Arabidopsis thaliana: one gene and its partners. The protein of the gene in region 1 interacts with the protein of each later gene in a pairwise test. Each region holds a gene or a part of one and is shown in the gene's direction. Other genes may lie near its edges.

Region 1 (10,829 bases):
TGAGTCAAATTCTCAGTTCATCTTCGCTATATGTATCAACTTATCGGAATCACTTCTATTATTAATGGAAAAACCGAATATCACATAATGAGAGGTTTTAATTTCTACATAAAACTATAAAAGCCATGGTTGTATAATCAAATAGGACTGTGGGAGTAATATAAGCAATTGAAAAGTATAGGGAAAATATAAGATTCTACAAGTGATAATGTCCTATTTTGTAAATAACGATCAAATAAATTCCAAACAGTTTTAGACCAAAAACCCTTTGGTCATCGTCACCAGAGATTAGATCTAAAACCCTATCAGAGACCATTTCGCGTGAACAAAGATGGCGGGGCCTTTGCTTCGATCTCTTTGGTCAAACACCACTCGAAGATCCTTCTCTTCTCATTCATCACCTTCCAAATTCGGATACTCGCTCTCCTCCTTACGCTCCTTTTCAGCAGCCACCGCTTCCACAGCTGCAGCCGGAGCTCCTAATAGCTCGCTTGACCCTAATCGACTAAGAAACGTGGCTGTGATAGCTCATGTCGATCACGGGAAGACAACACTTATGGACAGGCTTCTTCGTCAGTGTGGTGCTGATATCCCTCACGAGCGTGCTATGGATTCTATTAATCTTGAGCGTGAACGAGGGATCACTATTTCTTCAAAGGTATCGCCTTTCGTATGTTTGGATTGGAATTAGAGTTAATTGTTACTTCACAATTTTGAAAATGGTTCTGTTTGAAAATGATTCTGAGACTCTATCAAAGCATATTTATGTTCTGTTCTTTTTTTTTTCTCAGTTTGTTCTGTTATGTCTGTAACTTGATGTGTTCTTTTACCGATTCCCTGAGATTTTGTTATTTATCACCACGTTACACGACATTTAAAGTTTATGTCAAATTTTCCGACAGGTGACATCAATATTTTGGAAGGACAACGAACTTAACATGGTAGACACACCTGGTCACGCAGATTTTGGTGGTGAGGTATGATACTGATCTTACTTTTAGCGTATTATTTGATTCTCATGCTCGTTTTTAGTAGAAATGCATATTAGTGGACAAAAGATAAATTAATTAGAAGTTCTCAATACCTACTCATGGTCTGTTGACATTAGGATACTCCTTACTGTAGAACATAGGTGCTATCTTTGTGACTATTTTGTGTATTTGAATTATAGGTTGAACGAGTCGTTGGTATGGTTGAAGGAGCTATATTAGTTGTTGATGCTGGAGAAGGCCCTCTTGCACAGACTAAGTTTGTTCTTGCCAAAGCCTTGAAGTATGGACTACGCCCAATCCTTCTCTTAAACAAGGTAGATCGACCTTCAGGTATGCATTGCATTCACTCCCTTTCTTAGTAAAACTTGTTGGTCTTGTTTAATTTGTTTAGTTTCTCATCCTTTTTTTTCTTGCTTCGTTTATTTACAGTCACGGAAGAGAGGTGTGATGAAGTGGAGAGTTTGGTGTTTGATCTTTTTGCAAATTGTGGTGCTACAGGTGATTAATATATCAAAGTTTAATATATGTATTCTAATTAATTTTCAAATCATTACTAAATCAACATTTCTTCTTTCTCCATTACTTAGAGGAACAACTAGATTTTCCGGTGCTTTATGCCTCTGCAAAAGAAGGGTGGGCATCTTCTACCTATACCAAAGACCCTCCTGTAGATGCGAAGAATATGGCAGATTTGCTTGATGCCGTAGTAAGACATGTTCAGCCTCCAAAAGCAAACCTTGATGAGCCATTTCTGATGCTGGTAATATAAAACTCCAGCGAATGAAATTTGCTTGGCCAATTTCTTTCACTTTTCTGATTGTCCAATATCAAGTAGCTGATCTTTGCATTGTGCTCTTTAACTTTGGACGAGGTTAACTAACACAGTTCCCATTGATTTCTGTTTGGCATTCCACAGTAGACTTCAGAGAAAAATCGGTTGAACTTAGAATGTTTGTTAAGTAAGTAGACTTGTTGTTGTGAGTTTAGAAGCAACTATATCCGTCAGTAAATTTCAAGAAAGAACAAGTGATTTTGTCAAACTAATTTCCTCGGGAAAGGAAGACATTGGTTGGACACTTCATGAGATTATATTCAGTTTATGACCTTCGGCTTTCCTAGTTTGAACGTATTCATGTTATGTAGTGAATGTGCCAAGATTTGAATAGATTCATTTATACGTAACTATTATTTTAAGGGTATAAAATGTCTGAACTGCTAAAGCCCTAGCAATGATATTTAACTATCGTTCTCTCTTCTGATTTCCAGGTTTCAATGATGGAGAAGGACTTCTATCTCGGACGAATATTAACTGGAAGAGTAACTTCTGGAGTTGTCCGTGTTGGTGACAGAGTCAATGGACTACGCAAAACTGATTCTGGCTCTGAGAAAATAGAAGAAGCAAAGGTTTGTGTGCATATTGCTTTGTACTTGGTCAGCCGTGTTTACGAAGTGTGATGTTCTCATCTAAGCAGACATAAACATCTTTCATATAGGTTGTGAAGCTAATGAAAAAGAAAGGTACAACCATAGTTTCAATTGACGCTGCTGGGGCTGGTGATATTATCTGTATGGCTGGTTTGACAGCTCCATCAATAGGTCACACGGTGGCTAGTGCAGAGGTAATATCCGAATGGACTACTTCCCTGTTTTATTCTTAGATATATAATTGAATTCTGCTTTTAACATAACTTCTTCCATTGATCCCTATTTGAATATTAAGACGCTTGAATAAATGCTTCATTTTTATTGTCTTTCAGGTCACAACTGCACTCCCTACTGTTGAGTTAGATCCACCAACAATTTCTATGACGTTTGGTGTCAATGACTCTCCGTTGGCTGGTCAGGATGGCACCCACGTATGTTTAATTATAGTGACAAGATATAGCTCTAGTCATTACTCTGCATTAAACTTTTACATCCTCAGATTTACCTTCGGGTCACTGCATTTCTTTTTCATCTTAATTCACCTATATGTTGCTGGCATTAAAGTTAATGTGTCCCCCTTAGCGATATTTGAAGAAATATGTTGTGTTAGGTGGTAGACCACTCGTTCTGGCACATGTTGATAGGCCTTTGCTAATCTGCATGCAGTTAACTGGAGGAAGAATCGGGGACCGGTTAATGGCAGAAGCTGAAACAAATCTTGCCATAAACGTTATTCCAGGCTTGTCAGAGTCATATGAAGTCCAAGGGAGAGGAGAACTTCAACTTGGTTTGTTCTTTTCCAGTTTGTGTTTAGTGTTTGTTCACCTGTAAAGACGGATATAAAGTATGACACACGCCAGAAAACACGTAACTGTATTTATTTCTCTATGCCAGGTAAATTAATTTCTGTCGTGTCTAACAGGTATCTTGATTGAGAATATGAGGCGGGAAGGTTTTGAGCTCTCAGTCTCACCACCTAAAGTCATGTTAGTCACATCTCTTTGTTTACACTACATACTATATTCGTCGTATAATCAGAGTTAGTTGTTGAGGTTATTAGATGTTGGTAGTTGTAGAGGTTCTTAGTGGGCTTTTGAAGAAAAGGGTCTTACCAGTTTGTGTCATAAAGCAATAGAAGAATTCTTTTATTTTTTACCAAGTTACCTGATTTCTATGCTGTTACTATTACACTAAACATTACTTGGTTATTGTTTGTTCGACTATGGATTACTTTTTAGCCTAGAAAAACTCCTTTATAGTGTCTTTATTTCTACAAACTTTGTTGTACTTCTTCGTCTGACTTCTGAGCGTTTGTCCTTTATGTTCAGGTATAAAACTGAAAAGGGACAAAAGCTTGAACCAATTGAAGAGGTGACTATTGAGATTAATGATGAACACGTAGGATTAGTGATGGAAGCTCTCTCCCACAGGCGGGCGGAAGTTATTGACATGGGCCCTGTCCCTGGAAATGAGGGTAGGACGAGACTGTCACTAACTTGTCCTTCAAGGTTAGCTTACTATTTTTAATTACTTTTAGAAAATCTTGCTTGCTGCTCATTGAATCATTCCCCATGAAGAAATATAACCTACGTATACTTGTGTTCTGCAGAGGTCTGGTTGGGTACAGATGTGTGTTTAGCAGCGACACACGAGGAACTGGATTCATGCATCGTGCTTTCCTAAGTATGAAACTTTTCTACTTGCATTTACTGCAACTCCAGTCCGCTATTTATCCATCTATTTTCTCAATGTTTTCTTCTTTCATAAGCATCAATTCAGTTGACTTCTCTTCTAAAGGAATCATCTATGTAAATAATATTTCTTGCATATATCTGCTAAACACAAATTCAGCTTCAGATATCATTAGTTTTCTTGCAAGAGGATTCATCATAGATCCAAACATATCTGTCTGGTAGTTAGAAGCATCTTAGGTTTTACGTTTTATTACATTCTTCTTCAATTGATTGCTGTTTGTGTATCGCGTTCTTGCAGCTTATGAAAAGTACCGAGGTCCGCTTGGAAATGTTAGGAAAGGAGTATTGGTATGTCTATGGCTTGTTACTCTTATTTCAATAAGAGATTGCTTTCCCTTGACTTTTTTCCTTCATAAAAATTTGTATGTAGTCTCAAATTTTTATTTTTATTTATTTATCTTGATGAAACAGGTTTCCATGGCACGTGGTACTATCACAGCTCATTCTCTGATGAGTTTGGAAGCTCGTGGAATTCTCTTTGTGTCTCCGGGGCTGGATGTGAGAACCATCTAAATATGACATAGAAATATCTTTCTCGGTTTAGCTGTTCTTGATTGGAACAGGTGATGTGGTCTTTCTGCGTTTGATCCATGCTAATGCTGCACTTTCTTTTGTTTGTCTGTCTTTAACAGTCATATGATGGTATGATTATCGGTGAGCATTCACGAGAAACAGATCTTGATGTAAGTTTGTTCGACTTCTCCTCTTCATACTAAATTGTCGAAATGCCATGAGCTCACTTGCCCTTGCACTGCAGCTTAACCCAGTTAAGGCCAAAGAACTTACAAACATTCGCTCTGCTGGGAAAGACGAAAATGTGAAGCTATCTCCACCTCGTCTTGTATGTACCCTTTCCTCTTTTAACATGACATAAGAAAACTGTTTTCTTGATCAGAAAATTTTCTTGCCCTTTGTGGTTTAACTTTTGAATTCTTGTCTATTCAGATGACACTTGAGGAAGCTATAGGATACGTTGCCTCAGATGAGCTTATAGAGGTACATTGTTCATCACCAATTCCAAATCTAGCTAATCATATTATCCATGACGAACATTTTGTTTCCGGCTTCCTATGCATTTACTGTTCTTGGTTTAATGTTGTACTGTTATTGGTTTAATGTGGTCAGGTGACACCAAAGACGATTCGGTTGAGGAAAAGATGTCTAGACGTTAACAAGCGTAAATCCCAGAGCAAACGAGCCAAAGACTAAAAAGTTATCTTCCACACTTGACTCTCTGGTACAATTTTTATGGAAGCTGGTTTAGTTCTTGTCACAATCCTAGAAAAAGAAAATTATTGAATATGTACGAGAAACATTCAGATTATATACTAGATTCGTAACTTATACGCAAGAAGATGCATTCTTGTATTGATAACAATAAGAAGATAGATCGATCCCGATGCTGTATTATCATTGTGGACCACCGGATTTATCATCGTTATAAAGAAAGTTTTGTTGGTGGCCTTGGGGTCTATTTAACGACCCACATGACCCAAGTTATATTTTTAATTTATAACTGATTCCTTTTGTTCCAATCGTCGTTCTAATTTTATCTCATCAAAAGCATGTGTCTCCATTTATGTTAAATAACATGGTAGTAGAAACTTTAAAAAGTTAATAACTAATGTTCAGTTCGAGTATCATGAAAATATCCACCGCACAGTAGTCGCCAGTTTGGTTATGTCACTCCAGACCAAGCTTAAGCCACTCCAGACACAAGGACTTGAGGCCGCATTGTAAGGAAGTGTTGCAATCGTTGCATCATCTACTGGAAGAACCTCAAGAGGATCCTCTAAAGGCTTAGGACTAGGAGTAGGTTTTTGATTAGAAGAGGATGGGTTGTTAGGTTGAATAATGGGTGTATTATTCTCTAGAAAAAACTACAAACCAAAGTCTCAAACGTACGTAAGAAGTTAAACTAAAAGAAAAAAGACAAAACGTGTGTAAATATATCAAACTAAGATGAGCAAAGAAAGTAAAGGAAGGAAGCAGAGTCCAATCCAAACATTAGAGTTTGAAGCTGCACTATGTGGAGCTGGTGATGGTCCCATCTGATACTGTACTGGAGCATGATTAACCGGTGACTCAGCCAACGGAGACTGTGAAGGAGACGAAAAAGAGCTTGGTGGTCGGACGGGTCCAGGAACCGGAGCAGCGACAGGTCCCAATGAGGCTGGTAATACATGGATTTGAAGCTTTTGTCCCATGTCACAGTGACCAGGAAATCCGCATATGAAGTGTTGGAGTCCCGGTTTGGTTAGAATGACGATATCAGACCCGGTCTCGTATCTTGCTAGCGGTTTGGACGGTTCACACATCTCGTAATCATTGTGAGTGACTTCGGTGACGTCGTGGAAGTCTTTGTTGTATTTGAAGACCAAAGAGTCTCCAACTTGAAAAGTTATTGTAGATGCCCATGTCTCGTAGTTGACGCTCATAATCGTCCATCCGTCGGAGTCACCAACTTTGTGAACGGTTCCTCCAACGGAAATTCCAAAAAGTGCTACAAGAATAAGCAAAGAAGTAAAGAAGGCGTTGCTTTTGATCAAAGCCATGATCGATTGTTGTTTGAAACGAGAGAATTAAGCAGCAAAGAAAGAAGAAAACAACTATGTAAGAGATATTATAAAGTTTTGAGTTTGTGTTGGTGAGAAGTTGAGAGAGCACTACGTTGTTTATATAGACCCGAGGTCTCGTTTAAGGTAACCCTTTTCTCTTTAAGAATTTGACGATTTTATATGTTTTTCTAAATCAAAAATATATTATATTTTGATAATTCCTAGTGATAATTGTTAAGGTCATTTTTTCCCTTTTTGTTAAATATATCCAGAAATTTATTAATTCTTAAAGGTATTAATTTATTGAGAGATTATAATAATTTTGTAATTATTTTTAAAAAATTATCTCATAAGAAGTTTTTTTTTGTAATTAATATCTTTATAAAATTATATTACTTATTAAATTTTAAAAACACACAAACTTTCTCGATGTAATAAAATATTAGAAATGAACTATTTCGAAAATTAATACAAATTTAAGAAAAATATCATATTTAATTTTTACCAATTGTTTATTTCACCAATTGTTAGAGTCATATTTAGGGTCTAATTTATACTCCCTCCGTCCCATGAAGATGGATTTTTTAGAAATTTCACATTCTTTAAAAAATAATATATAATGACAATTTTAATCTCTTAATACTATTTAAAAATAATTATTACCATTTATTTAATTATTTAATAAGGGTAAAATAGGTAAACAGTTCTAAAAATTACATTGGAAATATAAAAAATTATTTTTGTGGGACAAATTTTTTTCCTAAAAAATTTATTTTTGTGGGACGGAAGGAGTATTCTTTAACACACATACAACGATTAGGATTTATATACAAAAGATATTATCTTCTTTTAATTAATTAATTAATTTATTTTTATTTATTTATTTATTTTTTAATTATTGTAAGTTAAGATTCCATTTTCGCATCTTTTTTTTTCCGAATTTCCTTTTTTGTAACATTTTCTCAAATTTTTAATGAAATGTTTGTTTTTTTGGTGGGAATATTTAATGAAAATATCACGAAGTCCAAAATTGCCACAAGCTGAGATTTTTATTTTATTTTGCATCATCATCATCAATATCATTCATCATCATCAGACATCAGGTGCGTCATAAGCTCCACAAAAAACTCATCCATGGCGATTCTTAGTTACATCTCAGCAACATCAACCACACCACCAATTCCTCAAGATCAATCTCCCAATTCTCGTCTACCAACCAAAATCATTCTACCCAATAAGAAACCTGAGAAATGGTCCACCGGAGTTGCTCCCGGAGAGTACGGTGGTCCTCCGACTACCACCAAGCTCCGAAAGTACTGGGGAGGTGAAAAAGAAGATCCCATTACTTCCACAGACTTAATCTGGAACAGAGATTTTATGGATCAAATGAAGAAATTGTTTGATGATCCTAATGATTCTTCTCTCGACCCATCTCCTTCAAAGGTTCAATCTTTATCCCCCCAAATTAGCTCAACTTTAAGGTTTCACTAAATCTCTTTAAGGTTTTGTGATTGCTTACAGGAAAAGTCTTCTGGGTTTCTGAGCTTTAGCAGAGTTATGAGTCTTGACAGGTTCATTCTCCTTTAAACTGATAAAAATTAGTTTTTTATTTCTTGCATTTTGATTAATGGTTGATTTGTTTGTTGTTGTTATCTGTGGAAAATTAGTATGGATGTTGATTTAAGTAAAGAGCTTGCATCGTCTTCTAAATCCGTTGTGAAAAATCGTCTTGACACCTCCAAGTCAGAAGCTAAAAAGCAAATGGTGAGAAGCCAATTTGACAAAGCCACATTGCTATTTCTTTATGTCTCTGAAGTTTACTCTTTTTTGTCAATATCATTAGAGTAAGGCTATTGTGTCTCCTAAATGGAAGCTGGCACCTACACGTCGTGAGCAAGAGAAATGGGATAGAGCAACGAAGGCTGCAACTGGTGGCAGTGTAAGTTTATCTTTGCAATTGATGGATCACTTGTGCTTTGATTTATTAATTCTATACCAATTGAAATGTCATTTTCATTGTAAACATTGATCAGAATTGGCAAAAATGGATCTTCTTGGTTCTTAATTCCTTCCTTCATTTCTAATGTGTGCTGCAGGATGTGATGTTTAGGGAGCTGAGACGGCCACGTGGTGACCCAGAAGTACAAGCTGCTAAAGACAGGGAACAATATTTTAAGGTACCTTCTTTGGTTAGCTAATCCTTTCATGGTATGACAAATATCATGTATTGCTATCTCATGAAAAGGCAGCTTGTATAAGCACTACTCTTTACCTTCATGGGCAACTCCGTTACTTTTGAAGCATTCAGTTCCTAGTCTCTTGACTTTTGGATTGTTTTCTGCAGCTGAAAAATAAGATTCAGGTTCTCACACTCGGTATTGGTGGTGTTGGTTTAGTCTCAGCTTATATCTCATACACCCCAGAGATAGCACTTAGGTTTGTCTTCTCATGCAATGAACATCAAAATCTCGTTAAGGACTTTTTAAATCAATCTTAATTTGTGTTGAATATTTTGTTACAGTTTTGGTGCTGGCTTGTTGGGTTCACTTGCATATATGAGGATGCTTGGTAACTCTGTAGATGCCATGGCAGATGGAGCCAGAGGAGTTGCCAAGTACTATATGTTTCTCTTCAAATTCTTATCAGTTATCTATGTTGAGACCACTCACTCACTCACTTATCTCTTTTGTTCTTTGGTCTTACTGAATTGATTTTATAGAGGTGCAGCTAACCAGCCACGGTTACTAGTCCCCGTTGTGTTGGTTATGATATTCAATAGATGGAACGCGTAAGCACCTCTCTCTCCGTTTTGCATTATATATCTTTCATCCAAAATCAACTTGGTTACATCAATCATATTTACTTGTGACTTCTTCATATATTGCAGAATACTTGTTCCTGAGTATGGATTCATGCATTTGGAGTTGATACCAATGTTGGTTGGGTTCTTTACTTACAAAATTGCTACGTTCTTTCAAGCTATAGAAGAAGCCATCTCCATTACTACTCAAAAACCCGAATCAATCTCTCCAGACACACAGGCCAGTGATTAATAAGGTCAAGGTCAGTGTTGTAAGAAATGTAATTAAACACAGAAGTGTTAATGTAATAAAAACTAATAACTCATAAACTCATTCATACCAGCAAATCACCAAGAGATAGATAGCTAGAACATATAAAGCAAATGCAGAAAGAGTGAAACATAGAAAGTTAATGACTTTGAAATTTTTAGACCAAACCGGGTCCAGTGTTGGTTTGAGTGTATTCTTCGTTGAGTTTGCCTTCGTAAACATAACCGAGCTTCTCACAACACTTCTTAATCTCTTTGACATCTTTCTCCGAGCAAGTATCATCGGAAACAACAACGGTCGTTTCGTTTTCTCCCGTTTCATATTTGGCAACTGCTTGATGATTCAGAACTGCAATCTTGACGACCTTGTCGTCTCCAAAAGTAGTGCAAGAAATTACTCTAGCTTCCATTTCTTTATTATTGTCTTTGGGTTTATTACTCTGCTTTTTGGATAGGAATAATAAAGAGTATAAGGGTGATGGATGGTTTATATAGAGAACAATCATGTGAATGATAATTAATGGTCAAATCACGAAACATGTATGCATGTAAAAAACTGTAAATGGACCACCAGATTTGGTTATTATTTGAACAATAAAGTTGAATCCCTGAAATTGCTTCATTTTACATGACTCAAGTTTTCCAGTTCTCTATCTTAGAAAGTGAATGCCACAACAACAGTATAGTGTTAAGGCACAATTTCCTATAGTTGTAGTAGATATATGTTTTACCTTAGGCAACCAGAAGAAAAAAAAAAAAAAGTGTTAAGAGTTTTATGGTAGATCGCAAGCAGAAGAAAATATAATATAATTTTTTTGTATCAACAATCATTTATTTGTTCTCATTAGTATATACATATGTATAGCTTAAAAATCAAGGTTATGGCTATGATACCAGATGGTGTAGATAACACATATATTTTTGTTTAGTCTAAGAATGTCCAAGAATCTATGTTATCTTATTCCGTTAAGAACTCTCAAGTTCTAGCCACAACAAGTATTTAAGAGTTGAAATGCTCTTTGATTTAATT
Region 2 (10,604 bases), 5.9 Mb from region 1:
CTATCCATGGGACACAATATATTTCAGGAAAATAGTTCCTCAGGACTCTCAGACGACAAGTCTCACACAGATGAAGATCTCCTCCAGTATTCAGCGTTGTCTAAATTGATTCTAAAAGCGACTGATGAGAAATCATTGGTGTTATCACGTATCATTGCTGCGTGCAGTGTCACTTGCTTACACTCAGTGCCATGCTTTGAGGAAAACAAGGTGTCATCTGGACCTGATCCAAAGTGGTCCAATGCTTTGCGGTTTTACTTTCAAGGAATTCTGGAATCGTTCTCTAATTTAAGAACTTCTATAAGGCTGTGCTTGGGCTCCTCTGTGGAAGACCTGAAAACAAAACTTGCAGTTGTTCTTGATTTAGTCGAATATTGTTTGAGACTCGCAATGGCTTGGGTTCTGGGAGACGTGCATTGTCTCTTTCGAATGGTTCAGCCCCTTGTGATATCATATTTTAATGGGCATATGCCTTATGAGGTTGACCTGGAAAGTGTGAAGAGAGTATACCACCAGGAAGCTTCTGTTAGTGTACCAGATGCATCAGATGTAGGAGTTAATTCTAAGTTCAGCAGTGTTGTTGAGAATCACGGAGTTGGCTATCCAGTATACTCAATTCCAGAAGATGAAAGATGTCTGGTAACACAAGCTTGTTTCTGGAAGCATGTTTCAGACTTTGTGAAACTTAAGCTGGTATCTATTTCGATCAATCTAGATGATGGTATTTCGAATAGTGGTTCCGCTGAAAATTTTGATGCCCAGACATCATTGGACTCCAGTGATGACATTGTATGCGTAACGGAGAAGATAATGTCTGTTCTGGGAAAAACACTGATTAGCACCCTAGCTCAACTCTCTTCGTACCATGTAAAACAACTAGTATTAGTCTTGAAACAGAAACTAGAGAAGAGACTTCAGGTTCCTACCTTGTTATGGCTGCTCGAATGTCAGGGATCTCAAGCAAATTTTCTTAATCGGGATATCCCAGATGCAGGTGTAGAGACGGAAAAAAACGGTGACCCTGTGGTTTCTGTGAGGTTCTGGAAGCTTTGTGTTGATCCTCATTTACTACACGAAGCTTTCTTGTTAGAAAATTTTGACATATTTGAATGGTCAAAATCTAAACCATTGGAAGATTGGAGCGATATGTACAGAGAAGTAATCAGGAAGAATGAGCTCTATGTGCCATGCAATCAAGATGGTCGAAGTAGTAATGAGGTGGCTTCACTTGCAAACCACGCTTCAAATTCTTCACCAAAAGCTGCGGTAACTGCCAATGAAAACTCTGCGTTCCAGAACCCCAAAGAAATCCATAAGAGGACCGGGGAGCTTATAGAGGTACCTATTTTTCTTACATTGACGAACAAGTCACTGATATTGTTGAAACTTTCTTATCTTTTGAGATCGAGTATTCTAATCTTTATAACAGGCCCTTTGTATCAACGCCATTAACCATCGGCAAGCTGCATTAGCTAGCAACCGCAAGGTCAGTATATCGTCGTAATTTGCCTTTACCACTTGTTCTATCTTTAATTTCCTGTGAAATTCATAAGTTTTTGTAACTTGCCATATGCTACGCACCAAAACTTTAGATATGCAAAGATGAGTCTGCATCCTGGAAAACATCCATTAACCTTTTATCTGTATCCTGCATTCTTGCATCAGTATCTCGAGATAAAATTTTCAGATGATATTGCATGTCCCATATGAAGACCAAGTTTATGTCAATCTGTTGTTATTTTGTTGTTGCAGTGTTTTATTATGCTTAGTGGTAATGTGGCAGGAGACATAGACACATCCCTAAATGTGCATTCGTGACATGCAGGGTATAATTTTCTTTAACCTAGAAGATGGTGATTCTTCCCAAAATCAGTCAGACTATATCTGGTCAGATGCTGACTGGCCACATAATGGTTGGGCTAACTCTGAGTCAACTCCCGTTCCAACATGTGTTTCACTCGGTGTTGGTCTTGGGGATAAGAAAGGAGCACACCTTGGGTTAGGTGGGGCCACTGTTGGAGTTGTTTCTCTTTCCAAGCCTGGGAAAGCTGACAGAGTTCCTGGCTACTCTGGGTTAGGAGCGATAGCGGATCCAGGATCATTTTTTACCCAGGTCACACATAGCTAAAAAAAAAAAATTGATAAGCCAAATGTATATTTTCTCATAACATTAAATAAAATTCACGTAGATCCGCCGGTGGTTAGGAGTCTCTGGTCTAGGTTGGGAAACTCAAGAAGAATTTGAAGAGTTTGTTGATCCTCCCCCAACAGTTGAAAGTGTTATTACGAGAGCATTCTCTAATCACCCGACAATGCCCCTCTTCTTGGTTGGCTCAAGCAACACTCACATATACTTGTGGGAGGTTTGTGCCTAAACACTTGCACCATCTGTTTTAGGAGTTCGGAGTAAATGATATGACATTTCTTATCTATCCTTGTGGATCTTATAATGCAAACCTTGCATGTTACAGTTTGGAAACGAAAGAGCTACTGCAACTTATGGTGTTCTTCCTGCTGCAAATGTTTCCCCTCCTTATGCTTTGGCGTCGATATCAGCAGTGCAATTCGGTCCATTCGGACACAGATTTGCTAGCGCTGCACTGGATGGAACTGTATGCACTTGGCAATCAGAAGTTGGAGGAAGGAGCAATATTCATCCTGTTGAATCATCTCTTTGCTTCAATGGCCATGCATCGTACGTTTCATGATCCTTGAGTCTATAAGTTCTTGTTCACTAATATGCTAAAAACACATAAGTTTTAAATTATTGCTGTCAGTCATGAAAATTACCATTATTTCTCTGTTTCTTGTTCTATTGGCTTCAGCTATTCTGTTTCTGTTATTTATGGTTGCAGAGATGTAGGATATATTAGTTCGAGTGGATCCATTGTTGCAGCTTCAGGATATAGCTCAAGTGGTGCAAATGTCGTTGTGTGGGATACTCTAGCTCCCCCTTCAACCTCCCAGGCATCTATCAATTGCCATGAAGGTCCTCCAATAATTTTTTTTGTAGAAGTGTTAGTATCATTTCCCATAATCACAACTCTTAACAAGTTTTTTTTTTGTTTTGTCCCTTTTCTTCTATGAAGGTGGTGCACGCTCTATCTCGGTATTTGATAATGACATTGGTAGTGGTTCAATTTCTCCTATGATTGTGACTGGTGGCAAAAATGGTGATGTCGGTTTGCACGATTTCCGGTTTATTGCAACCGGAAAGATGAAGAAGCAAAGGAACCCTGACGGTGGATCTTCGACTGATGGAGATCAAAACAAGAATGGGATGCTTTGGTATATACCAAAGGCTCACTTAGGTGCACACCCTAAAGCCTATTTTCACCTTCATATTCCAATTTTACCGGAAAAATATCCTGAAATTTGATTGACATTGATGCAAATTTCAGGGAGTGTGACAAAAATAGCGACAATCCCACGCACAAGTCTTTTCTTGACGGGAAGCAAAGACGGAGAAGTAAAACTTTGGGATGCGAAAGCTGCAAAGTTGATTCATCATTGGCCTAAACTACACGAAAGACACACTTTTCTGCAGCCAAACTCGAGAGGCTACGGTGGAATCATCCGGGTTAGTGAACCAAATCACCTAAAGCATAATCCTTTCATCGTATTTTCTCACAGTGGCTTTGGTTTCTTAGTAAACCAGAATCAAAGTAATGTCGGTGTATGTAATCGAATTTGGGTATGTGTTACGAATTTGGTGTAGGCTGGGGTGACTGACATACAAGTTTGTCCGAATGGATTTATAACGTGTGGTGGTGATGGCACGGTGAAGTTCGTCAGCCTCGTAGATTCTTCCTATGGCGATGCTAAATAAAAAGAAGATACATTTTCCGGGAAAGTTTTGCAGTCGAGAAAACGAGTTATTGCTACCTTGCGTGTGTTTATTGAATACGTGATTTTTTGTGATGTAGTTTTTTTCTCTATATGGTTTAATATTTGTGTATATACAAATATATTAAAGATTATGAAGCAGTAGAATCTTGAGTTGACCATAATCCAGATTTTAATTTATCTTTGACTTGACTTCAATCTATACTCGGAAATATCATCTATTTATCTTTGACATAGTTTTCGTTGACTTTGTTGCATCAGATTTAGACCAGATTAAATCGGACTGATTCCAATTAGATTGGTGTTAAGTGTAGTGCAATAGAACCGAAAATAAACATTATCAAGATTTAGTTCGTTATTGTAATTTTTTTTCTTTCTTTTTGGTGTTGGTTTGGTATTAGCTCGATATAGTTTAATAAGATTATGAAAAATTGACGGCTAGGAACCTGGCCACTATCGTATTACGTAGTGGAATATTATCTTATGGTTGATTATTAAACTGCTCCATAATTTGTGTTGTAGTCTTGTAGACGAAATGATATGAATCATCAAAATGTTTGATTAAAACCCCATTTGCCAAGAATTATTCCTAAAACTATTAAGTTAAGGCAAAGGTCCATTTCATTAATAATTATTCTAAAGAAGTTAGTTGTATATATAGTATATATATAGACTATGGTGTTAATTATGACTGAATATATTAGTGCTCACATAAAGCATCTTATTAGAATATCTTAGATTGCTTAAATAATTATTAACCACGTAATAAATAAATCTCATGTAACACTATCAATTGGAGAATAATGGAGAGAGACAATTAACCATAATGACTTGAAGACACTTGGCTTCACCTAACATTCAATTTCCTAGACGAGGCCACTATTTACATTCTCTTTACCTAACTTTCAGAACTACATTAAACCAAATTGACATGTAAAAAACCTAATTTTATATTTTCAACATGTCTATTTACCATTGGCCACTTTATTACTTAAATGAAAACGATGTCATAAAAAATATTAGTAGACCCTAACTTGAAATTTAAAATTTAATCGATCATTTAAAAATCAAAATCATTCGACGCAATTACTACAAGATTTTTATGTTTTAACCAAACATTTATGACGTAATCTACCATCGCGCGTAATCGTATAGTGATAACTGATAAGATAAAAGGTCTTATCCGTTAAAAAAGGAAAGGGAAGCCTTTTTTAGATCTTCTTTTTTGTCGCCACGTGTAATTAATATCTAATCGAACGGCTGTCAGGTGAAATCTATGGGCAAATCTGTGGACTCAAATACTCATTAACATAACTATGGGTCCTCTCAGAAAACGGTGCCGTTTTGCGGAAGCTTGCGTGCTGAATGACACAGAGACTAAGAAAACGATAATAAACTGCAAAATGATTCAAAAGATTTTAATCGAAAGCAAACAAAAATTCTCTGACAATCAGAAAACAAAAAAAAATCAGAACAACTCTTATCTTCTTCACGAGACTGACTAAACAATCATAGATTTTTCCGTTTTTTGGGTTTCGTCTGGTGTTACTCTCTCCTTCTGGTTAGTTCTTTTTTTCCGAATTCTTACAAATTATTGCGGTTTCATTAAGATGAATTATGATTTGGATCACCATCCGTTGTTTTTGTGTCCGGTTTTGATTCTTAGGTCTAATCGCGTTTCATGTTTTTTTTTTGTGTTCTTCTGGGTTTGATAATTTTATAGTTGAAGTTTTATGAAATTTGATTTCAATTGCAAATAATGATGATTTGTTTAGTAAGTTGATAAATTGACAAAGAATCTGGCTTTGGTTTTTGTTTGCTTCTAAGAAAATTAGGAACTAATTCTTCAATTTACCTGGAAAGCAAAACATATCAGATTCTCTAAAAAGTAGTTTTGTAATAAGCTTTTTTGGTGATGGATCTGTCGGCAATCAGAAAGATTCTTCCTTTGAAATAAATGATTCATATTATTTTTCCTATAAATAGATTCAAAACGGTTAATAAGATTTTGCTAAATCTACCTAATTTCTAAATCACATTGATCTTGAATTGAATTCTCAGTCTCTTGTCTTATCTTTAGAGTTATGGTGAAATAATGGCAGCAGCTGAAGCAAGAGCAGTGTGGCAAAGAACAGTTAATCGTTGCTTTGTCCAAGAAGACGCTAAAAGAGCTCCCAAGTTAACTTATTGCCAATCATCTTCATCCTCAACTGCTTCTTCAACTAAGCAAGTGGAAGTTTCTGGTTCTTCTCCTCGAGTTTCTGTTGAACCACGGACTCAATCATCTTGTGCAGGTTTCATGCCTCTTCCTCGAAACCCGAATTTCCCTGATCTGTTACCCCACAACACCAGACTGTGGAGTCATCCTCATCATCAGTTTCAGGTGAATAAGAAGCAGCCATTGGAGGATGAGGTTAACAATCAAGGTGTATCTGAGAAGAAGTCTGAATTGGGAGCTGGAGAGAAACAAGGAAAGTCTTTTAATTCCGAAAGCTTTCAAGAGTTTATAGAGTTGATGGAGACAAGGGAGAGTTATGGTTCAACTGGGTATGATGAGTCCTCTGAGAAAAAGTTAAGTGAGCTCTCTTTTGATCCTAGCTCGCCGTGGAATCTTCTCTCGAGTGAGAAAGCTGCACCGTGGTGGCGAACTACGGATAAAGACGAGTTAGCTTCCTTGGTTGCACAAAGATCTCTAGACTATGTTGAGAATTGTGATTTACCAACACCGCAGAAGATGAAACGATCTTATTATGGTAGTCCACGTGGTTTTGATTCTGATGGATTGAGAGACTACTCTGTCTCTGGCCAAACCATCAAGGGTACAAGCAAAGGAAGCAGCTGCAAGAACAGACCCGAGGCTTCATCTGAGTCTGATTTAAGCAAATCCGAGCTTCTAGAAGCACTGAGGCGTTCGCAAACGCGGGCTAGGGAAGCGGAGAATATGGCTAAAGAAGCTTATGCAGAGAAAGAGCACTTGGTGAAGATATTGTTGAAGCAAGCCGCAGAGCTTTTTGGGTATAAGCAATGGTTACAACTGCTTCAGCTAGAAGCACTTTACCTCCAAATCAAGAACAAGGAGATTGACAATAAGAACAACGACGATCCAGGGGTTTCCATCCCTTGTTGGAGCAATGGCAAAGCAAGAAAAGAGGGGAGAAAGAGAAGAAGCAAAAGGGGTAAACCGAATGGAGCAAAGTACGCGGTTGGTTTAGCATTGGGGATGAGTCTTGTTGGTGCTGGTTTGCTTCTTGGATGGACTGTTGGATGGATGCAGATGCTATCGTTCTAGTTTAAAGAGAAGAAAAGAGACAAAACTTCATCTTTTTTCTCATTGAACAGCTTGATGATGTTGAAATGAGTTAAAAGATTGGCTTCGAATCAGCTTTTGGATTTCGTTAAGGAGAGAATGTAAATTGTTGTAAGAATTTTGTTAATATTGTGTTTACTAGTTTGATCTTTTCCTTCAAAAATCATATGAAATTATCTTCTTTAATGTGTAAGTAAGTATCTTTCATGTTCATGTAATATCTGCATATATTAACTACTGTACAGTGTATATGATCTTTCTTTCATGTTCCTAGAGCTTCGATTTCTTGAAAATTTAAAATACTTAGTAATTTTTTACTGCTGGAAGCAGAATGAGAAAGAGAAAGATATACAGTATATATATTTTTTAATTACGGCAAAGGTGATTATAATGGGCCGAATTGCGAACATTTGGGCCCAGTAACCCGACCCGACCGGAGATGATCTTTAATTTCGTTTCAGGTGAGAAAATGGTTTACTCAGGAGCAACTATCAATCGAATCAGACATTGACGAGGAGCTTTGGTCGTAATCCGAGGAAGAGATTAAAATCGGAAAGTGCGAAAATGCCGGTCATGGAGAAATTGAGGATGTTCGTGGCGCAGGAACCAGTTGTGGCTGCTTCTTGCTTAATCGGCGGTGTTGGTATGAACCCTAATCTCAATCTTAATTCCTCACCGATCGATCGCATTCTCTTTCTTAGAAAAGGATTTGCTTTGGGATTTATCTAGTTTCTGGAATTCCTCTTTGAATCTATAGAGCTAGTTTGCTCGATTGTAATTTGAGAATATAGAGAAATGCCTGATCCAAATCTCTCTATTCGGAATCGTCATTTCTTTGGGTTGTCAAAGAGAGTGTATTTTAAGGAGTTGAAATTAAGCTTAATTTGGAACCATGTCTTCCATTATCTCCATGTATAAGTAGCAAAAGATTATGTCTTTCTTGAACATTAGCAAAAGGCAATTGTGTTAATATACATTTGCTGATGGATTCTCTTCATCTTGTAGGACTATTTTTGCCTGCGGTTGTGAGGCCTATTCTAGACTCTCTCGAGGCTTCCAAACAAGTTAAAGCTCCTCCACTTACCGATGTATGTATTAGAATATATTTATCTCTGTGGAAATTCCTTTTGCTGCTAAAATCGTCATCTATTTCCTATCTAATGAAATGTCTCTGATGTGGGAACTCTGCATGATAGTTGTTCTTAGTATCCGTGTAGGCGAATGTTTGGACGTTTCTTTTTTTTGCTATGTGATGTAGCCTATACATCATCTCGATGTTTTGTTCCTCCTGCGTCTTCTTGTGATTTGAGAGTTCCATCTTTGGTTCATCCATGCCTTAAAAATCTATGCTTTTCATCATTGGACGAGTGTCATGATCACATTTTGTTACTGCCAAAAATGGATTGGGCATAAAAGAGACTAGTTAGTTATCACATTGCTTAGTTATCCAACGCTTTCCTATATACTCTTTACAGGCAAACAAAGGCGTCAAGTATTAACTCAGATCCAATTTGCTTTTGCAGGTGATTGCTGGTGTCACAGGGAAGAAACAGAGTTAAAACAAGCAATGACTTCCCCTGTTTTCTTACATTCAGATGATCCCTATTCCTTTTTTGTCTTTTACTCTCTCTATTCACAATGAATAAGCCAGACTCATTTGTTTGTTATGAAACTTAATATAAAGGCATGTGTGTACACTCACTTTTGTTCATCACTTGATCAGATGTATTCATTTCTTAACAACAAATGAAAAAAGCTTGAAACTTTTCTTGCCATGGCTCATGAGTCTTAACAACATTATATATGCATATCACACAGATATTAAATTACAGTAAAATTGCTAATCTTACATACACTCTTAATAGCTCTTTTTCATCATCTTGATCCCTCAATAGATAGATAGATAATGCATATTGAAAACAGGCTTAAACACTTCCACTTCTCATCTTCTTGTTCTTCCATGGCATTGCTAGCTTCAATCCCTTGCATAAACTTCCCTGCATTTCCCCAACCAAACCCGTTTCAGCGAAAGACAAGACTTGGGAAGATGAAGAAGTTATGAAGAAGGAGCGGAGAAACACAAATACTTTACCCAAAAGTGAGATCCTTTAACAGAACCACCACCATGGTAACTCCCTGATCTGTTAAACTTCATGATCTTCATGTTGTTCTCGTTGATATTATCTCCTGCTCTCTGATTCTCCGACAGAAAGACATAATTACCCCTCACAACAACATCCCCTCTCCCTTTCCTCCTCAAGAACCTCAAGAGCCCATGTTTCCTCTCGGGCAAGGGCATTTGCGTGAACTCACCAGGAAGGAGCAAACGAGGTGGCAAATCAAGACACTTGGGGTAAGAAAGAGGACGAAGAGGGTGCTTGGGCTTGCCTGGTTGGTCTTCCCAACAAAACGGAACAGAGGCAAGAGTGTGAATCGGAGAAGCAAACACACGTGGACTCGCAGGCGATGAAGTGTACAACAACGATCTTGACTTTGCAGCTAACACAAGTGCAAGCTTCGCCTTCTCTTCTTCCTTGTCTCCTCTCATTTTTATGTCTTCTCTGTTTCTTTCTTTCTTCTTCTTCAGCTTAGTCTTAGGCAGTTTCTTTTTAGGTAGTGGGAGAGTGAAGAAAAAAAAGACAATGCATTAAATATATCTCAAATCATTTGTGATTATTAATGATCCAACGGTGGTTTTTTACTGTTGACTAGATAGACAACCATTCATAAAAGTCAATACTCTTTTGTTATTAGAGGAAATTTGACTGACCACGTCACCAAATAATAGAATCATTCACCAACTAAACTGTTATTATTTGTTCTTACTATTCAAAGAATACATTGTCACTAAAGTTCAAACAGTGTTATTCTATAAGGGATGGTATTTTTACATTTTAAAGCTTCACTATTTACTATAGAGGTGAAAATAAATAAATATCACCCAACTGCTCAAGAGGTAATGTAATAGTAGTACAAGCAGAAGCAACACGTGACATAGCCACGCGCACCTAAACCACGTGAGGCACGTGAACTTAAAATGGCTGAAGGATTTTGCGCTTTGTAAACTTGAGAAAAGAGGCGCGTGAGAGACTGTTATTTGAACCATCTCTTTTTCTATTTGGTCTTCTTAACCATTTTTTTTTCTAATCAATGGTATGTATGTGATTAACATTAAATCATTTTGTATTCATGCAACTGATATACTCTACTACATTGAAGAAATTCTTGTGATCTCATCAAATTATACGAATTAAAATTAAGGAATTATGAAGCTGACGTGAAAATTATCTGCCGACAAATGACTTTATTATGATTAACGATTTTAAAGAAAGCTCAAAGTGGACCCAAAACCAAAATGTAGTTTGATCAGTAAAACATTCCCACCGACACCGAGCTTATGATTTCTTCTCAAGCTTAGTGTGTTCTCGCAAGTCTTAAGATTATAATGATG
Region 3 (11,441 bases), on another chromosome or scaffold:
CGAATTTAAAAGTCTAAGATGTCACGCGTAACATTCAAACCTCTTAATAAAAGTTTAGTATATGGCTAATCTATTCCCGTTGATTGATTTCAATATTTGGTAAGAAATGAAGATGATCATAAAAGTGCTACACAGCTGTGGGAAACAAAGAATCTGAAAAATGAGACATGAGGCATGTGGAGATAAATAAAAGTGCAGGTTTTGTTGTGCTTATGTGGACCAGCTTTTCATTCTTTCACACTTTTAATTCTTCAACCCTCCCCACCAGAAAAATAATTTATCATGTCTTCTCTTTCAAGACTATCATTAAACTCTGATTGTTAAAGCTTATTTCATTAAACAACTCTATTAGAAACCCTAATTCCATTTGTATGGGAAATTGAAGCTATAGTAGTTAACTTCTAACTCCATGCAAACCATAAATACCTCTCATAATGATAGTAAGAGTATTATTTTCTCATTGATTATCACAATAAATCTGATCAAAGAATTTGTGGAGATCGATAAATAAAGATACTCCTACTATTATTATGACAGCATAAAGGATTGACAAACATTGTTGTTCGAAGTTTTAATCTATTTTATGATATGTTAGAACTTAAAATCATAGTCCTAAAAATTTATAACTAACAATACATAAGACATAATTTTAACTTACATTAGAAAAAAGTTTTGAAAACTAACCCATTTAACTAATTTAAAATAATCCCATAACTTTCCTCTCATTTATCTCTCTCTCTCCACTCCTCAAGTCTGTACTTAGTAGGTAATAGTTTGACTAAGCTAGGTTTTTTTGCAGACATACATTAATTAGTAACACCATCAATAATCATCATAAAAGAAAATAGAGAGAAAGAGAGATAAATGCAATAATGGGAGATGGACCAAAGGTGCAGGTGGTGAAAGATAACAAACATATGACAATGTCTCGAAATTAAGAGGCACCACCACACATACACACACACTCTCTCTCTCTAGTAGGTTTGTGTTTTTAAAATCAATATTTTTGTTGGATTCTCATGTGAAATAAAACTTGATGGGTGATAGGAAACAAACACACATACGTCATCATCATCCTTAATTTCTATTTCTCCTTCTTCTTCATCATCAATATCAATCTCATCTTCCACTACTCCTCCCCTCTAACAATAAGCAGCATCTCTATAATCCCTAAGGTGAGTCCAAAAGTCGTCTATTAATTATTAAAGGAGAGATTTTTGCATGCATTATTGAATGATTTATAAGTATTAATATTTAACAAAGTTTTGTTGTTTTGGGTCAGATTCACAATGGAGCTTGGAGGAAAATGCAATGCAATTACAACCACAACAATGATCTCAACAGAAGTAAAGCCACATACGGATCCGGAACCAGAAGCCAAACCCGAATCAGATCCATCCATGGCTTTATTCCCGATCAAGAAAGAAAACCAAAAACCAAAGACACGTGTCGACCAAGGAGCTAAGTACCGGGAATGTCAGAAGAACCACGCGGCCTCAACCGGAGGACACGTGGTGGACGGATGCTGCGAGTTCATGGCCGGCGGAGAAGAAGGTACACTCGGTGCTTTAAAATGCGCCGCCTGTAACTGTCACCGGAGCTTCCACCGGAAAGAAGTGTACGGACACAGGAACAGTAAACAAGATCATCAGCTGATGATAACTCCGGCGTTTTACAGCAGTAACAGCTCGTACAAGCCACGTGTAATGCATCCAACGGGTGAGATTGGACGGAGGACTTCATCTTCAAGCGAGGATATGAAGAAGATTCTGAGTCATCGTAACCAAAACGTTGATGGGAAAAGTTTGATGATGATGATGATGAGGAAGAAGAAGAGAGTGAGGACAAAGATCAATGAAGAACAAAAGGAGAAGATGAAGGAATTTGCAGAGAGATTAGGGTGGAGGATGCAGAAGAAAGATGAAGAAGAGATTGATAAGTTTTGTAGGATGGTGAATCTGAGGAGACAAGTTTTTAAGGTTTGGATGCATAATAACAAGCAAGCAATGAAGAGAAACAATAGTAACATTAGTGAATAGTTTGATGATCTGATAAAAGTGAAATAAATTTTTACAATCCTGTTTTGCTTTTATATATAATTTTTGCCCTTCAAATTATTCAAAATCTTGAGTATAAATCTGTGGAATCTTGTATGTTTTGATTGTTTTATATTGTATCTGGGATTATTTTTTTCTTTTACTTAATTTGTGGTTGAACAAAGTGATAAAATTGGACCTTCAAATAAAGAGGGAAAAACGTGTGTAATTAATAATTTAATGCACAAGTATGGTTAGTACAATTAGCTGGAATAGCTCAGTTGGTTAGAGCGTGTGGCTGTTAACCACAAGGTCGGAGGTTCGACCCCTCCTTCTAGCGTTTTTTATCCTTCAAATGGCTGTTTTAAAATTCTGATTCATACTTTTTTTTTTCTGTCTGAATAGAAAGTTGATTTTGTTTGAAAAATCTGATTCATAATCATGTACATGCATGATAACAGTCTGATGTTAAACCATCGTAAGGAGCAGATTTAGCATTCTAGAATAGATCTATTCTGCTTACTTTTACCCCAAATTTAGATTTTTCCATGATTAATATATTGTTAGATATGGATCAGACAAAGAAGATTAGTCTAAACTCTAAAGCCATTGTCCATTTGATTTGTCTAAAAGATGTAGACGTAATAGTCAGCATAAACACACATTTGACCGGCGATTTAATAGGGACGAACAAGAAGATGTATACATCATGTGGGTGTAACACTAACACATGCTTTATTAATTACATATACAAAAATTTAATTTAGTTAGTTGGAGATCTCATACACACAACAATAATTAAAATAAAAGTCAAACAGATCTACTATTTTCCTTTTCATATCACAAAGCAAACTTGTCCTACTACTTAAATCAACACCATCACGAAGAAAGTTTCAAGAACTCACCTAAAACACAAACAAAGGAACTCCACTTTTTTTCCACACCACATCACACCATGTTTAGAGCCATGAGCACAAGGAAAATCCATGGTGGCTACGAAAAGCTCGGCGATGAAGAAGCGAGACTGAAGAGGGTCTCTAGCGTTCCGGCTAGTGTTTATGGTCATTCAAGAAACCCGGTTCAAGAAGTGAAGAAGACACCGACAGCGAAACCAACCGGTGGTTCTGTTCATCCTTTGTTTAGTTTCTTTGACGTTCATTTTCAAAGAAAGAAGAAGAATACGGCGAAGAAGAAGAGTTTAGCAACGGCGAAACCAGAGTTTGCTAGGTATATGGAGTATGTGAGAGAAGGAGGTGTGTGGGATCCGAGTTCTAACGCACCAGTGATTCATTACAGATAGATTCGTCAAGGAAAATGAATAAAAGATTTGTATATCGTCTTTTTTTTCCAAATATATAATCTATGAGAAAGCCAAACAATCCTTGATTCGATTCGAAAAGATGCATCAAACAATGTATTAGTCATTTTTGCACGAATTGATGAGTGTTTTGTACACTCTCATGGAGATTCCGTGAAGAATAAGATAAGTTCAAGGGTCTTGACTTTAATATATGATCAAAAAGTTGATTTTGGTTTTCTTATTTAAAAGGATATGTTATATGAACTGAATCAATTCGTAGTAGTTGCTAATATAGAAGCGGTCCCAGAGCTGATATCTTTGAATCATGTTCTATATTCTTCATTTCCCACCTTAGCTTTTATTTTAAGAATTCAAAATCAAGTGAGAACAAATTCAAAATAAAGTGAAGAAAAATTCAAAATTTCCAGTAACAGATGCATATTTGATTTTCCCTTTTCATCAAAAAATAAAGTTACGAATAAAATATTATTATATTAAGGAGAAAAAAATAGATATGATCATAGTCTCATATTTCTTGTGAAGACCAGTTTTTTTTTAAAACTATATTGTTAACCAAGTTTGAATACTCGCTCTTTATTAAAAGCGTGTTCACATGGGTCACGTAACACGTTTAAGAAAAACCTGGCTCTAAAAATATTATCAAAATCCCAGATTTGACGAAGACAAGAAAATAAAAAAAGACTTTTAAAATCGTTTTCAAAATGGGCTTTACAGATTCGTGAACAGACAAAAATTGGGCCATGGGTTAATTTGCTTTTTAGGCCACGTCACCGTTTTAGTGACGTTTCTGAATATTCGAGATGTGACCCCACTTAAACAAGATCCCTTGGACGACGTCGTTTCGACCACTTCACGAAACCCTACCGTCGATTTATTTACACAAAGTACCCCTTCATTGTATAGCGCCGTCCTTTGCTGTAACTCTTACCGTCAAAGGTTATATCCGTCTTTCCAAATGTCTCCCAAAGACACGTTTTAAAAAAATAAAAATAAAACGAAGAAAATCAGAAAATGGGTCGCCAAGAATAGAGGAAGAAGCAAAGAAGAAGAAAAAAAAAAAACAGAGCGTTTCAAATATTTGCGGAGATACAAAGCTGAGAAGAGATAAAAAAAGCCTTGGAGAAGAGGTTTTCTTCTTCTTCTTCTTCTTCTTCTTCTTCTTCCCTCCTCTCCTCTTAACGATGTCGTATCACGCTTCTTCTTATCTTCTCCGCCGTCGTCTTACTTCCGTATAACCTCGATCTCTCACCGTTGAATCTTCCTCAGCTTTCTTCCGTGGAGATCTCCTTCGCGCTCGAGGTAAATCCTTCTCTTACGCCTCCGGATTTGATGTTTTCACCTTTCTCTGTTTGTTGTTTCGGTGAAATTTCTGGAAATTTTCGTTATGGTAGGTCTGAATCTCGAGAGATTCGATTCATTTTCATCGGCTTGACCTATTGTTAGCTTCTAGATTATCAGATTTGTGATTTGATTTTGCTAGCTTCTTTTTTTCGTGCGAGAATTGAATCAAGTTTTGTTTAGGTATACCGATGATTGTGGTTTGAGCACGCGGTGTTTGCTTTGTACCTTCCCAATAGCTAATTCTCACTTATGCGAATGACCATTGTTGGTTGATTTCTGATTCGATTGAAATGAAGAAACGCTCTTTGTGGTTTCGGTTTTTTTTTATTACTAATTTGATACTTGAATGATTGCAGAGCCATGCCTACTTTTTCTGCTATTGCTTTGGATAGAATGCTAGAGCCAGGGGCTTCCACGTCTGTCGAGAGTGTTCCAAGCACAACTAATTTGTTTTATTCAAAGCCACCGATATCAAAACTGGAGAAAGGTAAAGGTAAATTACCTAATGAGAGGACAGTTACTCGTCCTCTGATGTCACCTGCTCTCTACGCCACACCTGATGCGATTCCGCTTCCTAATTCGCCATCGTCTTTCCCACCGTCGCCTTATATCATCAACCACAAATCACGTGGACCTCCACGTCTTCTTAAAAGCTCTTCTGAGGCTAATGTTGTGTCTTCTTCCCACCAGAAGACGCTGGAAGAGGAAACTATTACTGCTGAAACAGATGTAAAGGTTTCCCCTCGGAGGAGGTCCACTTCCTTCTCGTTTCCTATCACTGAGGTTACTGAAGATGATTATTCCAATGGAGTTCATGCTCGTACGGTTGGAAACTATAATTTTGATGGTATTGTTGATGGTCCTGTTGGAAATTGGAGTCCGCTTGATGGGAAAAGTGGGAATGGGAAGTCAGAGTTGGATAACGCTGCTAATGGTTTAGAACGGGTAAATGGTCTGTCTGAGCCAGTCCCTATTAAAACAGACAAGGAGAGTGAGTCAGAAGATTTCTATGACCCAGGTGAATCAGCAAGCTTCACAAGTAACACAGACGTAGAGGGTGATGCTGGGGACGAAAGTTCACAAAGACTTGCCACACCTGTGGGAGAGTTTTATGATGCTTGGGATGGTACTTATCTAAATCTTATTCTCTTACTAATCATTTCCTTATGAGATGGCTGTCAATGCTTATGATCTTAACGTTCCCAGGATAATATGATTAGTCACATTTTAGAGTCCCTTCTTTTTAACCTTTGAGCATTTGAGGGTATTCTTTCTTTAATATGCAGTAGTAGCGCCTTGTCATGCTTTGGAATTTTGTTTTCTTCTGGATATATTGAAATTTGAAAGTGATGAGTTATCTTTCCAAATCATGATGATTAATGCATTATTCATTTCCCTTGATGAGTATCTGCAAAGTATCCTGAAAGTTAAGCTTTAACTCGACTCTATGATTCGGAACTATTTAGTATTTTGTAATCCATCTAATTTCTTGGTTTTTCAGAACTATCAACCGACAGTGGAATGCAGAGTTCAGTTAATAACATCGAATCTGAATTAAGTGAGATAAGGCTGAGTTTACTAATGGAAATCGAGAAGAGAAAACAGACAGAGGAGGCTTTGGAGCAGATGCAAATTCACTGGCAGAGACTCCGTGAGCAGATGGCTCAGGTGGGTCTGTTCGTTCCTATTGATCCTACCGCCTCCACCAACAACATGAATCTATCAGAAGAACTACGCTGTCAACTCGAGATTGCGAGGTTTGTCTCTGACTCTTTAGGCAGAGGTATGGCAAAGGCCGAGGTAGAGATGGAGATGGAATCTATGCTCGAAACTAAGAACTTTGAAATCACACGGTTGTCTGACCGTCTACACTACTACGAGGCCGTGAACAGAGAGATGTCTCAACGAAACCAAGAAGCCATAGGTAGTAGAAAATCACTCTCATTCACCAAATTTATCCATTGTCATTTTCTATCGTATAATAAAAATCTAATCTCACAACTCTGTTGATACCAGAGGTGGCACGACGAGAGAGGCAGAAGAGAAAGAAGAGGCAGAGATGGATTTGGGGATCAATTGCAGCAACCATTACTCTAGGAAGCGCGGCATTGGCATGGTCTTACATTCCTGCAGCCAAACCATCATCTGAAGTATCTCTTAAGGATGAATGATTAAGTAAGTCTCTTGTATACGTAGTGGGTTTGATGCAAGCAAGAGAAATAAAGATACAGGACGTTTAGCGTACGCCTTGTGAATAGAAATATATACATATTTGGTTATTGTTTTAACTGTTCTCAAGAGGATGTATAGCTCCGAGTAGCTGCAAACACATTTTTCTTGCGGTGGCATACTGATGAGTGGCAGCCACAGTCACTAATATTTGGTTCGGTTTGGTTCTTATTAACATTCAATGTTAGCTCTAGTGTAAGGTGCTTGCCTTGCTTACATCTTAAAGAAACCTTATTTTTTAAAATCTTGATTTTAACAAACGGGCTCTGAATCCTTCATTTCGATATTTTGAAAAGAATTTGAGGGATAACAATTTTAAGCTTTATAAGTAAAGCTTGGTATTGCTTATCTCTCGTCTTTGAACCAGTTAAGTACAACGTACGCTGCGAAAGCTAGCGCAAATGTAGCTGCAAACAGAAATACAGATATTTGCACTAATAGAGATGCCTCGAAGGCTTCACGAAGAAGCGAATTCCACATTGTGTACCATAAGATGCAGAAAAGAGAACCAACAATGGCACCCACCACCACTTGACTGCTTGTGTGCAGTTTTTGAGAAACCCTTAACCGTATCTGTGATAGTGCAGAGAGTGTGAGATCAATGGCAACTAAATGATTTCATATATGAATGAAAAGCTTGAATCAATTAGGTGAAACTTGTTATAACAGACTTACAAAGTATGAACCCAATGCGAGGATTAAGCCGCTAAGAAACAAAGACACACCGTTGGTTCCAAGCCATTCCATAACTGCAGAAAACACGACTCGAGTGAATCCGTTGTAAACAGTTCCACGATAGCGAACGATGAGTAGTGAACAGCTTAAGCTGCTTACCGGATAAAACAGCAAAGACAGATATGAAAGAAATGGATTGAGCATGAGAAGATGGCATCCCGGGATCAGATCGCAATGTTGTAGTAGGCCTCTCTTGGTTAAGTATACGTTTAAGAACTACAGAGAGAGCAGAATTCGAAATCGATCCAATGACTGCCCACAAGGCTGCACCATCATGTCGCAAAAGAATGATTGAACCAAATAGAACAGACACAACCCATTTGCTCTGTCATCATTAATTAAAACCGGTCAGAAAGAAACACACATTGATACTGAAGAAACATTTCATCGAACACATTGCGTGCATGAATGAGATTTCCATTAACTAACCAGACGATTAACAATGGCTTCAATCCCACCGCCGGTGACCAAGTCTTTCCGTATCTCCGATGAGTTGTTGATGAAAGATTCTTGCTCCAACGCTCCAAATTGTTCGTTACCGTCATTGCTCCTGCTTCCGACTCTGCTAGAGAATCTTTTAACGGTCATAGATCCAAAGCTAGAGACAAACAAAGGAGACCCACGAGAGATAATCGAACTATAGCTCGAAAGTCTCGATCTTTTAAGGTACGAGGAAGAGTCAAAGTAGAAATTGCAGGTGGGACAGTGAAGAAGAAGAAGAAGAGAAGACGACGCTGCCATTTCCAAAAGGAAGATAAAAGTCAACGTAGTATCAAATCCATCGCTAAAGGAAGTAAAATTCGTAAGACGAAGAAGGGAAATATGCAAATCGAAGAAATCAATGTCTGGTTGAGAACAAGAACCTGAGAGAGAGCTTTCTTCTTCAAATCAATCTTCAAAGTTTTTTTGCTCGAAAACGAGTTTGTTATTTGTTGTTTACCTTGACGCATTTTATAATATCGTGACCACTCATATTCTTCCACGTGGCATGTAGAATAAACGGGTAAACCAATATTGAAGCAAATTAATGGGCTTTTGTTTCCTCAGCTGAGGCCCATATATTAATTAAAACCATTCTTAGTTTGATGTAGCATCAGGTGATCTGGAGTGGCTTCATGAGATATATGTCTATGGGCTTAGTTTTGTAGCTCTTTTCATTTAGCTTTTGTACAAATCCTCATTAGTTTGTGCCCAAAAAAAAAAAAAAAAAAAAAAGTACAAATCCTCATTAGTTTAAAAGGCATATGGTTGCCGAGAGGATTTTTTGTTTTGTTTTATGCTTCTCTTGTAAAATGTTGACATGAAAAGGTGAAGAAATATTTACCTGATGTTATAGAAAAGTTGGAATATTGTTGGAATATCACATATTTTTAAAAACTTATTTCATATTTTTTGTATCATTGTGTATATTACAATTAACACATTTGATTAGTTTGTTTAATTAATCTTTTTCATTAAAACATAATTAACGAAAATTATATTAATCTACATTATTAAAAAGAAAAAAAAGTTATCAAGAGGAACTTTTCGGTTTCTTTTCATGTTATTATTTCACAACAAATTTACATATTACCGCTAAGTTATAATGTTTCACGGTCTTTACGGATGAGTTATAATGTTTTACGGAGGAATTAAATATTGCTTCAATAATAGATCAACGGTGACAATGTCGTGTACACGTCGATTTATTCGGAAGAATATTTAAATGTTTCACTTTCAGCGTTTTAGAACAATGTTGCTTTATGTGGGCATACATATATAAATTAAATATGGAGGTCTAAATTCTTTGTTACCGTTTTGTGTAAAGAATCATATCAATTTTTTAAGCTAAACTAGATCTATCGGAGTTTTCTTTTTTTATATACAATTTGGGAGATCTATTAGAGTTATGTGTAAAATATTCATATTTATCCTCGATTGTGGCGATAAATACAGATATACGGTCGCAAGGTATGGAAACTACCGTGGTCACATCAAAGATTTGCATTAGCCAAGTTTTTTTTGGTTCTTTCTCGTAATTCCAAAAAATAAAAAATACTTTAGGACATGGAAAGAAAGAAAGAACGACAAAAAAAAAAAAAAAAACTTTAGAACATGGAAAGAAAGAAATTTAGTATACAATGGGCAGAGTGACGATTGACGCATACCATGGCATGGCTTATCATAGGAGATGAAAACTGTGTGTCGTTTTTGGAAGTAAAATATATTTAATCAAGAGCAAGATGCGTTCATCACACTGTCAAACTCAATCTTCCAAGTACAGTATTGGCAGACATTGATGATGACCTAAAGATTTTTTTTTCAGAAAATAGAAAGAATTAAGCTATCAATTTTAAAACCGATTACGATGTTTTTGCACCTTATTAAATGGGGAGTCGCCAATTATAGGAGCTACTAGTTTGCGTAGAAGTTTATCTCCACTCTATATAGAAGTCGAAACTTTTTTCAGGGGCGATGAAGTGTATGAATGATGCCGACATTTAAGAAGTAACATTTTTTACAGATTGTTTAGATTTGGTAAATATGATGTCTTTCTCAACTGAATGTCCAACATTTATAAGAAATTTATACATTATAAACATTTAAACTTTATACCACGGATAAAATCTTAGAATTGATGGATTTGTATTGATATTAATACATGATTGTGTGCTATAGGTGAAATTAACAAAATCAAATAAAAATATACAATCTTAAACACTAAACAAAATTTTGCCAAAAAAAAAAAAAAAAAAAAAACTAAACAAAATAAACAATATAAAAAAAAATACAACTTAAAATTTGAAATTCTTATTTAATAAATATCGTCTCGCAGTGGTAAACCGCGGATTAATATCTAGTAGTTACTATTTTGTTTATTAAGACTTAGCAATAAAAGGTACATATGCAGTTATTATATCGATCATTAATTGAAGTTATATTCTGACTCCTATTATCATGGCAAACACATTTAAATGGTTTAGGTTTTTTGGTTGATTTTGAAAGGCAATCGTCGTTTCCTGCATGGCCGCAAAATTCGCGATAGTATTTCTCCGAGGTTCTACAGATCCGGTTGCGAGCTTCCACATCTAATATTTTATATCAACCAAAGAAAAATGCAGATTAAAAAATTTGTCCACAAAAAACAATTGTTAGTTAACCTTTTGAAGTATAATCAATACATTAAAATTTTTATGAGAAACCAATACAAAATAAATAAAAATCTTTCTTTTATTTTTTACCGTGAATGTGACTGAAAACAAATATTGATATGAATATATAAGAAATCATGAACAAGGTAAAATACTTCATAATTGTTGTAACAATTCAGTTTTTCCCTTTTGTTGTCAACATTCATACTTCCTCTGTTCCTAATTAAGTGTAGTTTAAAGGTTTTTCATTTTTTTCAATATAAGTGTTATTTTCATTTTTCTATGCAAACATTAAATGTATTTAATAGTTTTTAACCAATTATATTTTACATCATATTTTTTTATTGGTTGGATTAGTTGTAATTAATGATGTTTTTATAAGAAAGAGATAAATTAAATGAGATTTATATGTTTTCTTAATTTGTGTGCAAAAACCTTAAAGTACAAATATTTAGAAACAGAGGGAGTAATAAATATAAGCGAACTCCCTAAATTTAACTATATCCACACAAAAATTAGAATAAAAAGAAAGGCTAAAACCAATTGAACAACAAAATTAGTCATTTATTTTTAGAAATTCTTACAAAAATTCCTTTTTTTTAATGATAATTATGAATATTCAAGTTCTTAATTGACCAAATCAAAATG

Evidence for each region.
Region 2: the proteins of AT2G31040 (region 1) and AT2G46550 interact in a two-hybrid assay, tested with the Arabidopsis thaliana proteins (one large-scale study listed by BioGRID).
Region 3: the proteins of AT2G31040 (region 1) and AT3G50910 interact in a two-hybrid assay, tested with the Arabidopsis thaliana proteins (one large-scale study listed by BioGRID).

Annotation. Positions count from the first base shown.
Region 1 is NC_003071.7:13,208,047-13,218,875, reverse strand, and holds AT2G31040 (ATP synthase protein I-like protein), read left to right. Parts: upstream 1-7,687; 5' UTR 7,688-7,863; coding exon 7,864-8,172; intron 8,173-8,250; coding exon 8,251-8,300; intron 8,301-8,396; coding exon 8,397-8,493; intron 8,494-8,572; coding exon 8,573-8,668; intron 8,669-8,825; coding exon 8,826-8,906; intron 8,907-9,073; coding exon 9,074-9,165; intron 9,166-9,250; coding exon 9,251-9,343; intron 9,344-9,448; coding exon 9,449-9,517; intron 9,518-9,616; coding exon 9,617-9,782; 3' UTR 9,783-9,957; coding exon of another isoform or gene 9,958-10,209; 3' UTR 10,210-10,252; downstream 10,253-10,829. Other genes in the region: EMB2785 (elongation factor family protein), read left to right, coding at 332-670, 903-977, 1,172-1,322, 1,422-1,490, 1,580-1,752, 2,259-2,396, 2,486-2,611, 2,750-2,848 and 10 more; AT2G31050 (Cupredoxin superfamily protein), read right to left, coding at 6,124-6,726; AT2G31035 (oxysterol-binding-like protein), read right to left, coding at 9,958-10,209. UniProt on the Arabidopsis thaliana protein: Facilitates the assembly of the membrane proton channel of the chloroplastic F-type ATPase. Specifically required for the efficient assembly and integration of the CF(0) subunit c into the chloroplastic ATPase complex in the thylakoid membrane.
Region 2 is NC_003071.7:19,108,795-19,119,398, reverse strand, and holds AT2G46550 (uncharacterized protein), read left to right. Parts: upstream 1-5,192; 5' UTR 5,193-5,407; intron 5,408-5,926; 5' UTR 5,927-5,941; coding exon 5,942-7,135; 3' UTR 7,136-7,438; downstream 7,439-10,604. Other genes in the region: AT2G46560 (transducin family protein / WD-40 repeat family protein), read left to right, coding at 1-1,338, 1,430-1,486, 1,826-2,113, 2,190-2,363, 2,472-2,695, 2,856-2,989, 3,090-3,311, 3,402-3,580 and 1 more; AT2G46540 (fiber), read left to right, coding at 7,718-7,796, 8,159-8,241, 8,677-8,712; AT2G46535 (uncharacterized protein), read right to left, coding at 9,079-9,150, 9,246-9,701.
Region 3 is NC_003074.8:18,915,131-18,926,571, forward strand, and holds AT3G50910 (netrin receptor DCC), read left to right. Parts: upstream 1-4,196; 5' UTR 4,197-4,656; intron 4,657-5,054; 5' UTR 5,055-5,058; coding exon 5,059-5,824; intron 5,825-6,199; coding exon 6,200-6,622; intron 6,623-6,714; coding exon 6,715-6,869; 3' UTR 6,870-7,171; downstream 7,172-11,441. Other genes in the region: HB28 (homeobox protein 28), read left to right, coding at 1,290-2,039; AT3G50900 (uncharacterized protein), read left to right, coding at 2,992-3,336; LPPepsilon1 (Phosphatidic acid phosphatase (PAP2) family protein), read right to left, coding at 7,273-7,500, 7,603-7,676, 7,762-7,987, 8,092-8,403; AT3G50925 (Defensin-like (DEFL) family protein), read right to left, coding at 10,528-10,730, 10,884-10,953.